Arabidopsis thaliana: one gene and its partner. The protein of the gene in region 1 purifies or fractionates together with the protein of each later gene. This does not show direct contact. Each region holds a gene or a part of one and is shown on either strand. Other genes may lie near its edges. The genes, in order: GATB and AT3G25660.

Region 1 (5,449 bases):
TTTGAAAGTTGGGGGATTAATTGACATTTTTCCCGTAAAACAACATTCAGCTATTACAATGACAGATTATTTGTTGTAAGTTTTCTTGGAACCAGCAGCTCATGACTTTGCCAAAAAATGTGTACTTATTCGTTAAGTGTAATTAAAACACGTTTCTTGAGCTTGTTTGGTGTTTTCTTTTGTTTTCTTGCAGGGTCATTAACGAATCACCCTATTACGTGGACAACAAGTCATCAACAGACTATTGAACACGGTTGTCCGATTGCGTTATTAAGCTCTCCTCCAGCTCATCATCTGCACTAAGACAAATTTAGACCCCGACCATTTTGAGTATATATATGAACGTATCGTAACTATAGTATAGTGTATAGCTTTTGTTTCTTCAGATTTTGATAGGAAGGTTTAGTTTTGGAAATTGTATCTATTTGTCTTAACTCTTGTATATGTGTAACAAAAGCTTTAAATAAGACTACATGCATCCTGGCATTCTCACATCGGAAAAACGTTTTGAGCTAAGAATCCGACAATAAACTTTGCACCATCTTCGTTGGAGTTTTCAAGGGACTTATCGATGAGCAGCTCTCTTTATAGAATATTTGGCAATTTCTATTATAGCCTCTCTAAGCTTTGTTGGACCCACTGGTATAAACAAACTTGTGACACACTGACACAAGATCTAGAAGACCAGTTCTTGGCTTAGAAGAGAAGAAGGTTTTGGCTTACCAAAGCTCTTATTTATAAACGTTTTAAATGTTTATAGTATTAAGACTTTTATTAAATTTCAAATATTATAATATTTGAATTTTATATATATATATATTTTTTTTTGATGACTTTTGGGAAATCAATAAAGGGTTTACTACACTATTTATTTATGGAAGAATGAATGCTATTGAATTTAATTCTTAAGATTTAGCATATTTGATGAAAAATAAAAAATATCTCGACTCATTGTTTTTAAAATCTCAAGCTAATCGATGGAACCGTACGGAACCGTCTCAGCACAATCACAGCCACTAGCAACCATCGTTACAAGGATGGCCTGCAGCTTTGGTTCTCCACACGCTCGTCCTCTTAGCCCGAGTGTTCTGTTTTTCTATGTCAAACTCTGTTTCTACTTCTCTTCTAAATTTCAGCATGAAGTAGCATTTATTGTATAAACGTTTTTTGTTTGAATATAATTTTACATTCTTTCAAAAAAAATAAAATCTCAATTATTTTGTGTGATCTTAACAAATTACTCCAGTATAAAATCTATGATTTATTTCTCCACAATGTTCATTAAATCAATTTTATATAAACTATTTATTACTCTTCAATATCAGATTGGTACCATATTCCTTAAAAAACCACTACATATATTTATTCCAATTTAGTTATGGTATCAAATATTTTATGTTTGGCTACCAAGAGATTTGAGACATAACTCAATTGCCTATAAATACTCTTCACCTTTAACGTCTCATCGCATCATCTAATCAAAGGTTAGTCTTATGGTTTTTCATTAGATATTTGATGTTTTTTCAGTGTCCAATTATTTTTTTTAATACATGGACATAATTCTTTTCCCAAAATTTTATGGTTAAAAATAATTTTCTTTTTGAGAGTTCTTTTTTTCCTCATCATATAATGTTTTTTTTTTATAAAGTTTCATGTTTAATGTTTTCTATGTATGCTTTTCCTTCTGATTTTGTTTTTAACAAATATAATTTATAAGATCGTTAATAATTTTTGTTTGATTTCTTGCAGGAAAATAAAATATGTAGGATCCTCCTTTTTCTATTTGATCTCATCTTCCAAATTTTTATAAACATTTGAGCAATTGATGTCAAAGTGAATACAAAAACAGGAAATATAGTAGTCTTATATAAGACAATTGTTTACTATATAACAACTATATGCAAACAAGAATTAATCTACGGATTTAAACCTAAACTAAAAATGATCACTAACTTGATGAACAAGTTAAAAGCCCAAACCTATCTCTGGATCAGAAAGAAAGAGAAGCTAATCAGAGTCTCAGAGAGAGATTTGGGCTTAAAAAGACATAACAGGCCCAATAACTCAATTAAGCCCAATTCGGATAACACCCCTGCGCACAAGATGATGCGTGAAAAGATAAGTCGACGGCTCTTCTCCGATAAGATTCCGGTGAGAAACGAGCAGGTCCTGTCTTCTTATGAACTCAATTTCTTCATTTCTGATTCTATAAAACATCCTTAAAAACATGTCTACCACATTGTTGAGAACAATTCAGCTAAACCAGTTCTCACTTCTCGGAACTAGCTTGTTAAGAAGGAGAAGGAGTAACAACTTCTCCGTGAGGTCTTGTGGAAGCCAAACAACGACGACCCATGAAGCTAAACAGTCTTCTCCAACAAGGGTTGCTCCAAAAAACCACAAAAGCAACCAACTTGATGAGATTCTGAGAGATTACGAAGCTGTAATTGGGATAGAGACTCATGTTCAGCTCTCTACATTGACAAAAGCCTTTTGTAGTTGCTCTAACAATTACGGTTCTTATCCAAACACAAGTATTTGTCCTGTTTGTATGGGTTTGCCTGGTGCTTTGCCTGTTTTGAATTCCAAAGTTGTTGAATTTGGTGTTAGATTGGGTTTAGCTTTGAATTGTGATTTGTCTCTTAAGTCTAAATTCGATAGGAAGCAGTATTTTTATCCAGATCTTCCTAAAGGTTATCAGATTTCTCAGTTTGATATTCCTATTGCATCTGGTGGTTATGTGGATGTGGATATTCCTCTTGAGTTTGGTGGTGGACATAGGAGATTTGGTATTACTAGGGTTCATATGGAAGAAGATGCTGGCAAGTTACTTCATTCAGACACAGGAGATTACTCTCAGGTTCATATGGAATTTATGACACGTTTCAGTTTGGTTTTATCAGATTCTTGTAAGGGTTTTAGGTTTCAGATGCAAGATGTTTGTGTTTCTTATGTGTTAGTTGGTTACTCTAATGGTGCAGGTAGATTTGAATAGAGCAGGTGTTCCTTTACTTGAGATTGTTTCTGAACCTGATATGAGAAGTGGTATAGAAGCTGCTGAATACGCTTGTGAAATGCAACGGATTGCGAGGTATTTGGGAGTCAGTAATGGGAATATGCAAGAAGGCTCTCTTCGCTGCGATGTCAATATCTCAATCCGTCCTATTGGGCAAGCTGAGTTTGGCACCAAGGTCAACAAGTTTCTTTCTCTCTATATTTCTTTGTCATTTATGTGAAGGGATGATCCACTCATTAATCTCGTTGCTGATTCGAGTTACAGGTAGAAATAAAGAATTTGAACGCGTTTTCAGCAATTAGCAGAGCAATAGACTTTGAGATATCAAGACAAGCACTTCTCTATAATCAGGGGAAAGCAGACCAGATTGTAACGGAGACTCGGCTATGGGAAGAAGGCGCTCAGGTTCTAAGCTAAAACTCTTTCATCAGGTGCTTCCTTTTTCCATCAGCAACTAACTTGAGTAGATGTTCAGAAAACAGTAACAATGAGGAAAAAGGAAGGGCTTGCTGATTACCGCTACTTTCCAGAACCAGATCTTCCAGAAGTTATCCTTACCCAAGAATATGTTGATAGCATTCGTGCTTCTTTACCGGAACTCCCTGAAGCAAAGCGCAGGAGATATGAGGCGATGGGTCTAGGCATGCAAGATGTGCTTTTCCTCGCGAATGACGTCAGTGTAAGTCCTATTTGCTCAATGTAGATGATATTTTAGATACATAATGAACCTACTTATGTTATCTTCACAAGAAGACAATGGTGAGAGCTAAAGAGTAAACTTTCTGATCAATTTGGTGAGAATATAGATTTTTTTTTGTATAACAGCAAGACGAGTAAACTGTTGTTTGAATGAATGGCATAGGTTGCAGAATATTTCGATGCAGTCATTGGTAAGGGTGCTGAAGTGAAGTTGGCAGCAAATTGGATAATGAGTGATATTGCTGCTTACTTGAAAAATGAGAAACTTTCTATCAATGATATTAAACTCACTCCCCAAGAGTTGGCTGAACTGATAGCTGCAATCAAAGATGGAACCATTAGCGGAAAGATCGGAAAAGAGGTCGGTTCAATTCAATCTACAAATTCATCATCTTTCGCTTAGATCAATGCGATGAATTCCGTTTTTGCAGATACTGTTTGAGCTATTAGCCAAAGGTGGAACCGTCAAAGGAATGATAAAGGCAAAAGATTTAGTTCAGGCAAGTCCATGAAGAGTTGAAACCAGAGAATTACATCTTTCACTTTCCAACATGCCATTTTTAATTGAGAAATGACTTTTGCTTCTCTGTAGATAACTGATCCTGCAGAGATTGAGAAAATGGTTATTCAAGTGGTCTCTGAGAACCCAAAGCAGCTTGAGCAGTACCGCAGTGGGAAAACCAAGCTTCAAGGCTATTTTGCTGGCCAGGTATGGCAGATACGATCCTCATTTTCTTGAAAACTTGTACTTGGTGAAGCAGTTTAAACTCGTATATGCTTTGTTCAGGTTATGAAAATGTCGAAAGGCAAGGCAAACCCAGGGTTACTGAACAAGATCCTCCTGGAGAAGCTCAATGCCAAAGACTGATTGAAGCTTCAGCATTGACAGAGTTATTGCTCTTGAAATAGACATTGAAATGGTACAAAGTGATTTTTGCTCGTTGGTTATTGCTCTTGAACTAGAATGTTCTTGTACAAATCTTTTCCTTTGCAAATGTGTTGTTGGTTAAAACATAATCTGTTCTTTTCAAATACCTATCAATTACATCTTGACGCTGCATTGTCGAAACTAGATTCCGGGTCCATGCCCTTCGTACTCTCGGCTTTTTAATGTATTCCAGAAGATTCATTTGTGAAGACTAGTTAAACCATGAGACTTACCTCTTATTGAGCAGTTTTCCTCATGGTATCCTTAGCTTGTAAATTAGCACTTCTCAGGTTTATTCTCAAAAACAATCCAAATTCAGTATGAGCATTACTTCCTATACCAAGTTTCTGATAAATGATTGACACTTTGACAGAGTTATAGGATAGGCAAAACTCAAACTTTACTTCTGGGAACAATACTTTTACGTAAACCAATGTTTTTACTCTCTCATATTACCAGAATTCTTCTAACTTCAAAGGTCAAGACTCAAGTGCAAAATGCATACTTTAAAACATTCATGTAGCATTGAACGAGAGATTCCAGACTACACCATAGATGACTCGTTATCACATCATTTGTCTTACATATTACATTACTCTATCAATTCTACTTCTGAACTATTGAACTGAACAATACAACTAGTAAGCATACAGTAATTGTATAAAAATGTACAAGGTAAAAGATTTAGTTACTGTTGTTATATCGTTTGGAAGCGAAAGCTAAACAAAGACTCAACGATAAATCTTAACATTGAACATTTTTCCTTTATTCGAAGAATTCAAAGTCCTGTTATAAGAGATTCACTT
Region 2 (5,351 bases), on another chromosome or scaffold:
AAGTAAATTCTATTTTCCTTTTTCTTGTAGCTTTTTAACATGATCTCTTGAGAAGGACTTGCGTAAATAGTTTGAAGCTAACCACCATGTATAGTCCATAGGCCAAATAAACAAGTTTTGTTTAAAGAAATTATTTCCGTTATTAGGGGTTACCAAACAATTAATTTATCATATTTAATAGTTAATTATTCACCTGCAAATTATTTGTGGCACCTAATATTTAAATTATTTATCAGCACATAATTTTGTTCTGTTATAACAACTAACATAACATTTCGTCCAACAAAAATCTCTTTTCATAGGTTAATGTGTTTATATATTCATGTGACAACTTTCACGGAGTAGACGTAAATGTCAAACCATGCACACGCATGATCCGTTGGATTTTGATCGTCCACTGGAGACAGATATTCGTCTGGACCACTAGATTTCTGAGATTTTAATATGTTTGCATAATTATAGGTAATAACATATGATTTCTTCAGAATTATTCTAGAAATTTTAAAGTAGTCTATACTTATACTCTAGCACCAGAGTTTCATTTTATAAAATGCCAATAATCTATTTGAAACGTGTAATGCTTTTGACCATTTATTAAGATTTGTGTTGGTACTAGTGGACAAATTTTAAGTTTACTTACTCAAGATTTATAACAAAATATACAAATTTAAATATTGTGTTAATCAATCATGATACAACCATAATTAATAATAATCATGTGCATGAATGCAATGGCAAGGACTTCTTTTCAGTTGATACAATTTTTTAGTTTATTTACTCAAGATTTATAACAAAATATACATATTTAAAAATTGTGTTAATCAATCATGATACTCAACAATAATCAAGTGCATGAATGCAATGGCAAGGGCCAAGGACCAATAAATCAAAAACGAATAAAAGAAAAAAACCATCCCCATTTAGGAGTACCAAATAAGAGCATAGAGACCAAGAAGAAGAAGAAGAAAGAATACGTATGTGGCCCATGGGGTGTATCTACATTTATATTATAAAAGAATTGAAGTACAATTACAATTGATAAATCCGTTGCTTAAACCAAGCATGAAATGTAAACGCAAAAAGAGCCTTGGTGGTTACATGGTTAGGCTACATTGGCTAACAATGGAGGAACAAAGCTCGATCCTTTAAGAGTCTGCTCAAATATGTGACCCACTTTCAGCAATTTCTCCTAAAACCAATCAACAAATCATCATGTGAATCTTAATCTAATCTTTTAGAGTAAGCAAAGAGACAGAGTTTATAACAAACCTCATCAAACGCTGCTCCGATCATTTGAAGACCAACAGGAAGACCCGAGGGACCACCTTCGACTAATCCACAAGGTAATACCATTGCAGGAAGTCCGGCAAGATTCACATTGACCTGCAACAAACCTCATATGATACAAACTATGTTTCGTGTAACAACGATTAAATAGAGAAAGAAACTACGAAAGATTTTTACCGTCATAATGTCTCCAGCATACATTGCCAGTGGATCATCTTTCTTTTCACCAATCTTGTATGCAGCAGATGGAGCTGCCGGAGAAATAAGGATATCGTTCTGTTCTAACGCTGCTTTGAAGTCTTTTCGAATTAGTGTCCTCACCTGTATTAACAACCAAACAAAAAGAGCATACATTTATCTATCAAAACAGGTTCTATTTCTATTGACTGCATTTGAAGATGCGGCTTACCTGTTGAGCTCGCTTGTAGTAAGCATCGTAGTAACCCGCAGAAAGTGCATATGTCCCCATTAAAATTCTCATTTTCACCTTGAAATCAAAATTGTCATTGATTATAATCAAGCATTTGTTGATTAAATCAGATGGAGTAAATTCTGAAATCATACCTCTCCTCCAAATCCTTCTCCACGGGAACATTCATACAGCTTATTGAGTTCTTCAGCCATAACTTGATTACCATATCTTCATTTCCAATACAAGAAACAATATCATTTTCTATATCCATGATGCACTCATATTGTGAGTCAAGTCATAATACCGAGATTACCTGACACCATCATAACGTGATAAATTCGAAGATGACTCCGATGAGGCAATAACGTAGTAAGCTGGTAGTCCAAGAGAGAATGAAGGAAGGGAGACCTGTAAATTTTGGCAACAAATCTCAGAATTTTTACACAAAAACGAAAAAGAAAAACTGAGACAAAGGGAAAAGTGAAAATAACCTCTGTCAATATACAACCCAATGCTTCTAAGTGAGACGCAGCTTCCTGAGTAGCAGATCTCACTCCAGAATCAACACCGTCTTCAAGTGTCTCGCGAATTATACCAACTTTCACTCCATTCAATGGTTTAGACTCAAAATGATCCACAGATAGAAACTGAGACTGGAACTCAGGCACATCCTGAACAAAGAGAAATATGTTTCTGTTTTCAAAGAAAACATCTTTCGTTCATTACAATGCAGGAAACCAACTACAACAAGAGACCTTACTTGTTTGCTACTCGTGGAGTCAAACCTATCATACCCCGAAATAGCATGAAGAAGCATCCCAGCATCAGCAACCGTAGACCCAAAACACCCAATCACATCCAACGAAGACGCATAAGCCATAAGCCCAAACCTAGAAACACGCCCATAAGTCGGCTTAAGACCTACAACACCACAAAACGAAGCTGGCTGTCTCACACTTCCACCAGTATCACTACCAAGTGACACCATACACTGCCTTGCTGCAACAGCTGCTGCTGATCCTCCCGATGAACCTCCCGGTACACGACTCAAATCCCACGGATTCGCAGTTACCTTTAAACCAAAACCAAACCCCAAGATTCAATCCCTATACCATCACAAGCTCCCCAATAAGACCATAAATAAAGGCTCCAACTTTATTAACATTGCTGAATCATTCAATCCTAAACCATCATCACAAGTCTCCCTAACAAAACCATATTCATCTATCTAAACATGCTCCAAATTTATTAACAATCATCACAAGATTCATAAGACAAACCTGAAAAGCAGAAGCTTCAGTGGTACTTCCCATTCCAAACTCATCCATATTAGTCTTACCAACAACAATCCCACCCAACTCTTTAATCTTCTTAACCGCCGTCGCATCGAACGGTGGACGATAATGCTCTAAGATTCTCGAAGCAGCAGTAGAAGGCATACCTTGAGTACATATATTATCCTTAACGCCGATCAAAACTCCGGCGAGAGGACCCAATTCCTCACCTTTAGCGATTCGTTGATCAATCTCTTGAGCATCTTTGAGAACATTCTCCGATACGTGAAGGAAGCATTTGAGCTGAGGTTCAGTGAGACGGATACGAGAAAGGTAAGATTTTGCGATTTCGACAGCTGTGGTTTCGCCGGAGAGGAGTGAACGACGAGTGGTGAGAATTTGAGATTGTGGTGGAGAGATAACGGAAGTGTCGATGGTCTTCGAAGAAGCTGCGGAGACGATGGTTTTAGATATTTGGAACCGGCGTAGAGGGAGGAGTGATAGAGAACGCGGCGGTTGCAATGTCGATAACATTGCTTGAAGTTTCGAATTTGAATCACTGAATCATCAAATTGGGAAGATAGTGAGTTTAAACTGAAATTGGGTAGTAGAGTAATAAGACAAAGAAGGATGAATTCTCCGGTGTAACGCCGGCGAAAATGTTTCGGCGACTGTTCGAGGAAGGAGAGAAATCATCAGGATAAGACTTTTTTCAGTGTTCAAAACATGGAGAGAAGATTTATTAGTGGGCCGAAATTAAATGGGTAATAAAGCCCAATACAATTTTTTCTTATCGTTAAAGCCCAATAAAAGTTAAGGCGGCGATGGTGTAGACTGTAGAACGAGTTATGAATAGTTACGACTTACGATTATCTATTATGTTATATGTATGTTCCCAAAATTGTATTTAACGTAACGATAATTATATATATTTTATGTTAAGCTTAAAACAGTTGACAATGAGAAGGTCTTTAGAAATTAGGTAACATTGGTAAAAATATACATTCAAGTATTTCCGCTGTAAAATCTTTACCATGCTTTTGAGTTTTAATCGAACTAGCCAATCAATGTTATTCGTATGACGTAAAAATTGAAAAATATGACGAACTTATGTCATTGGTTATTTGTGCTTTCCCTTGTTGACATGTATTAGTCATTCATTATACATGTTTTAAGGATATGACACTAAACAAAAGAGCTCGATATAATTTGTAAGTAAATAGAGTAAAGTATTTACTCCATCCAACAAAATCAATCAAATCAAGACGATAAAAGTGTCAAAAACTTGTACGGAAATTAATAATTACATTAACTGTATATAAATTACTTTACGGTAAAAAAGTGAAAAAAGAGCCAGGAAATAAGGACTGCAGGAACATTCAACTCTTGGCCAGAGGGTTGAGTTAATAAATTGTTCAAGAAAACCAAACTCATTACTAACTTTACTATTTAATCCGTACGGCTCATTGAAACTTGCAAGAATCATTTATTAAATATCATCATTGTTTTCAATTCCAAGAACATCTCATTGGATTTAACTGATTAAAAGGAAAATATAAATTTCTTTTTAATTTTGATTCACAAATCACAAGCTTGTGGATAAGATAGTAAGAAAAGATGAAATGGAAAAAAAGATCGTAAGAACGTATTTAACAATGAAAATACTTTATTCTCCATTGAAATTTTTAAGAATGATACGATAGACATAAATTGTAATTTTCAATAATTATATAAATAATCAAAAGTTTGAAAAAATGTTAGAAATATTATGTTATTCCTATTGAAACATAGAGGAAAAAGAGTGTTTTGGGAAATAGACTTTCTCAGTATTTAACTCAACAAGTCCGTAAAATATTACTAATGGGAATAAAAAACTTGTTAAACATAATTCAGACACGAATTCGACATCTTTTTCGTCTAATTCAATATCTAATGTCGCTAAAATCTTTTACATAAAACCAAAACTTGTTGCAGCCGAGTTATAAAACAAGAAAAACAATTATTTTTGCTTTTGTCTTAGTAAATACTGAGAAAAAGTACAGAAGCCGTCACCTATGAACAACTAATAATGACTTGTGGAGTTATGGAGACAGAGCCTATGAAAGCAACAAAAGAAAGAGAGAAAAAAATAGCTATAAATGATCGTAAAAAGCTAACTGCAAACTAAGAAAAAACAAAGTAAATAGTAAAAGAAGATTTTTTCAGTCTATACTAAAAACCCCTAACTGTCTCATCTTTAATTGAACATCAATATCTACTTTTAAAATTCACCAAAAAAAATATTGAAAAAATAAAAGAGTCATTAAATTCTGTATATGAAGTCAGAAAATTCCAGGCAGTACAAGGCTTTGTTTGGTTTGGTTTGTATTGTCTGTTTG

Evidence for each region.
Region 2: the proteins of GATB (region 1) and AT3G25660 fractionate together in Arabidopsis thaliana (co-fractionation; one large-scale study listed by BioGRID). This does not show direct contact.

Annotation. Positions count from the first base shown.
Region 1 is NC_003070.9:17,937,958-17,943,406, forward strand, and holds GATB (GLU-ADT subunit B), read left to right. Parts: upstream 1-2,092; 5' UTR 2,093-2,227; coding exon 2,228-2,860; intron 2,861-2,981; coding exon 2,982-3,191; intron 3,192-3,280; coding exon 3,281-3,421; intron 3,422-3,491; coding exon 3,492-3,695; intron 3,696-3,878; coding exon 3,879-4,076; coding exon of another isoform or gene 4,077-4,118; exon of another isoform or gene 4,119-4,146; coding exon 4,147-4,215; coding exon of another isoform or gene 4,216-4,219; intron 4,220-4,307; coding exon 4,308-4,424; intron 4,425-4,502; coding exon 4,503-4,583; 3' UTR 4,584-4,907; downstream 4,908-5,449.
Region 2 is NC_003074.8:9,338,538-9,343,888, forward strand, and holds AT3G25660 (Amidase family protein), read right to left. Parts: upstream 3,687-5,351; 5' UTR 3,508-3,686; coding exon 2,980-3,507; intron 2,772-2,979; coding exon 2,460-2,771; intron 2,371-2,459; coding exon 2,191-2,370; intron 2,108-2,190; coding exon 2,013-2,107; intron 1,928-2,012; coding exon 1,852-1,927; intron 1,775-1,851; coding exon 1,697-1,774; intron 1,609-1,696; coding exon 1,465-1,608; intron 1,384-1,464; coding exon 1,270-1,383; intron 1,190-1,269; coding exon 1,103-1,189; 3' UTR 805-1,102; downstream 1-804. UniProt on the Arabidopsis thaliana protein: Allows the formation of correctly charged Gln-tRNA(Gln) through the transamidation of misacylated Glu-tRNA(Gln) in chloroplasts and mitochondria. The reaction takes place in the presence of glutamine and ATP through an activated gamma-phospho-Glu-tRNA(Gln).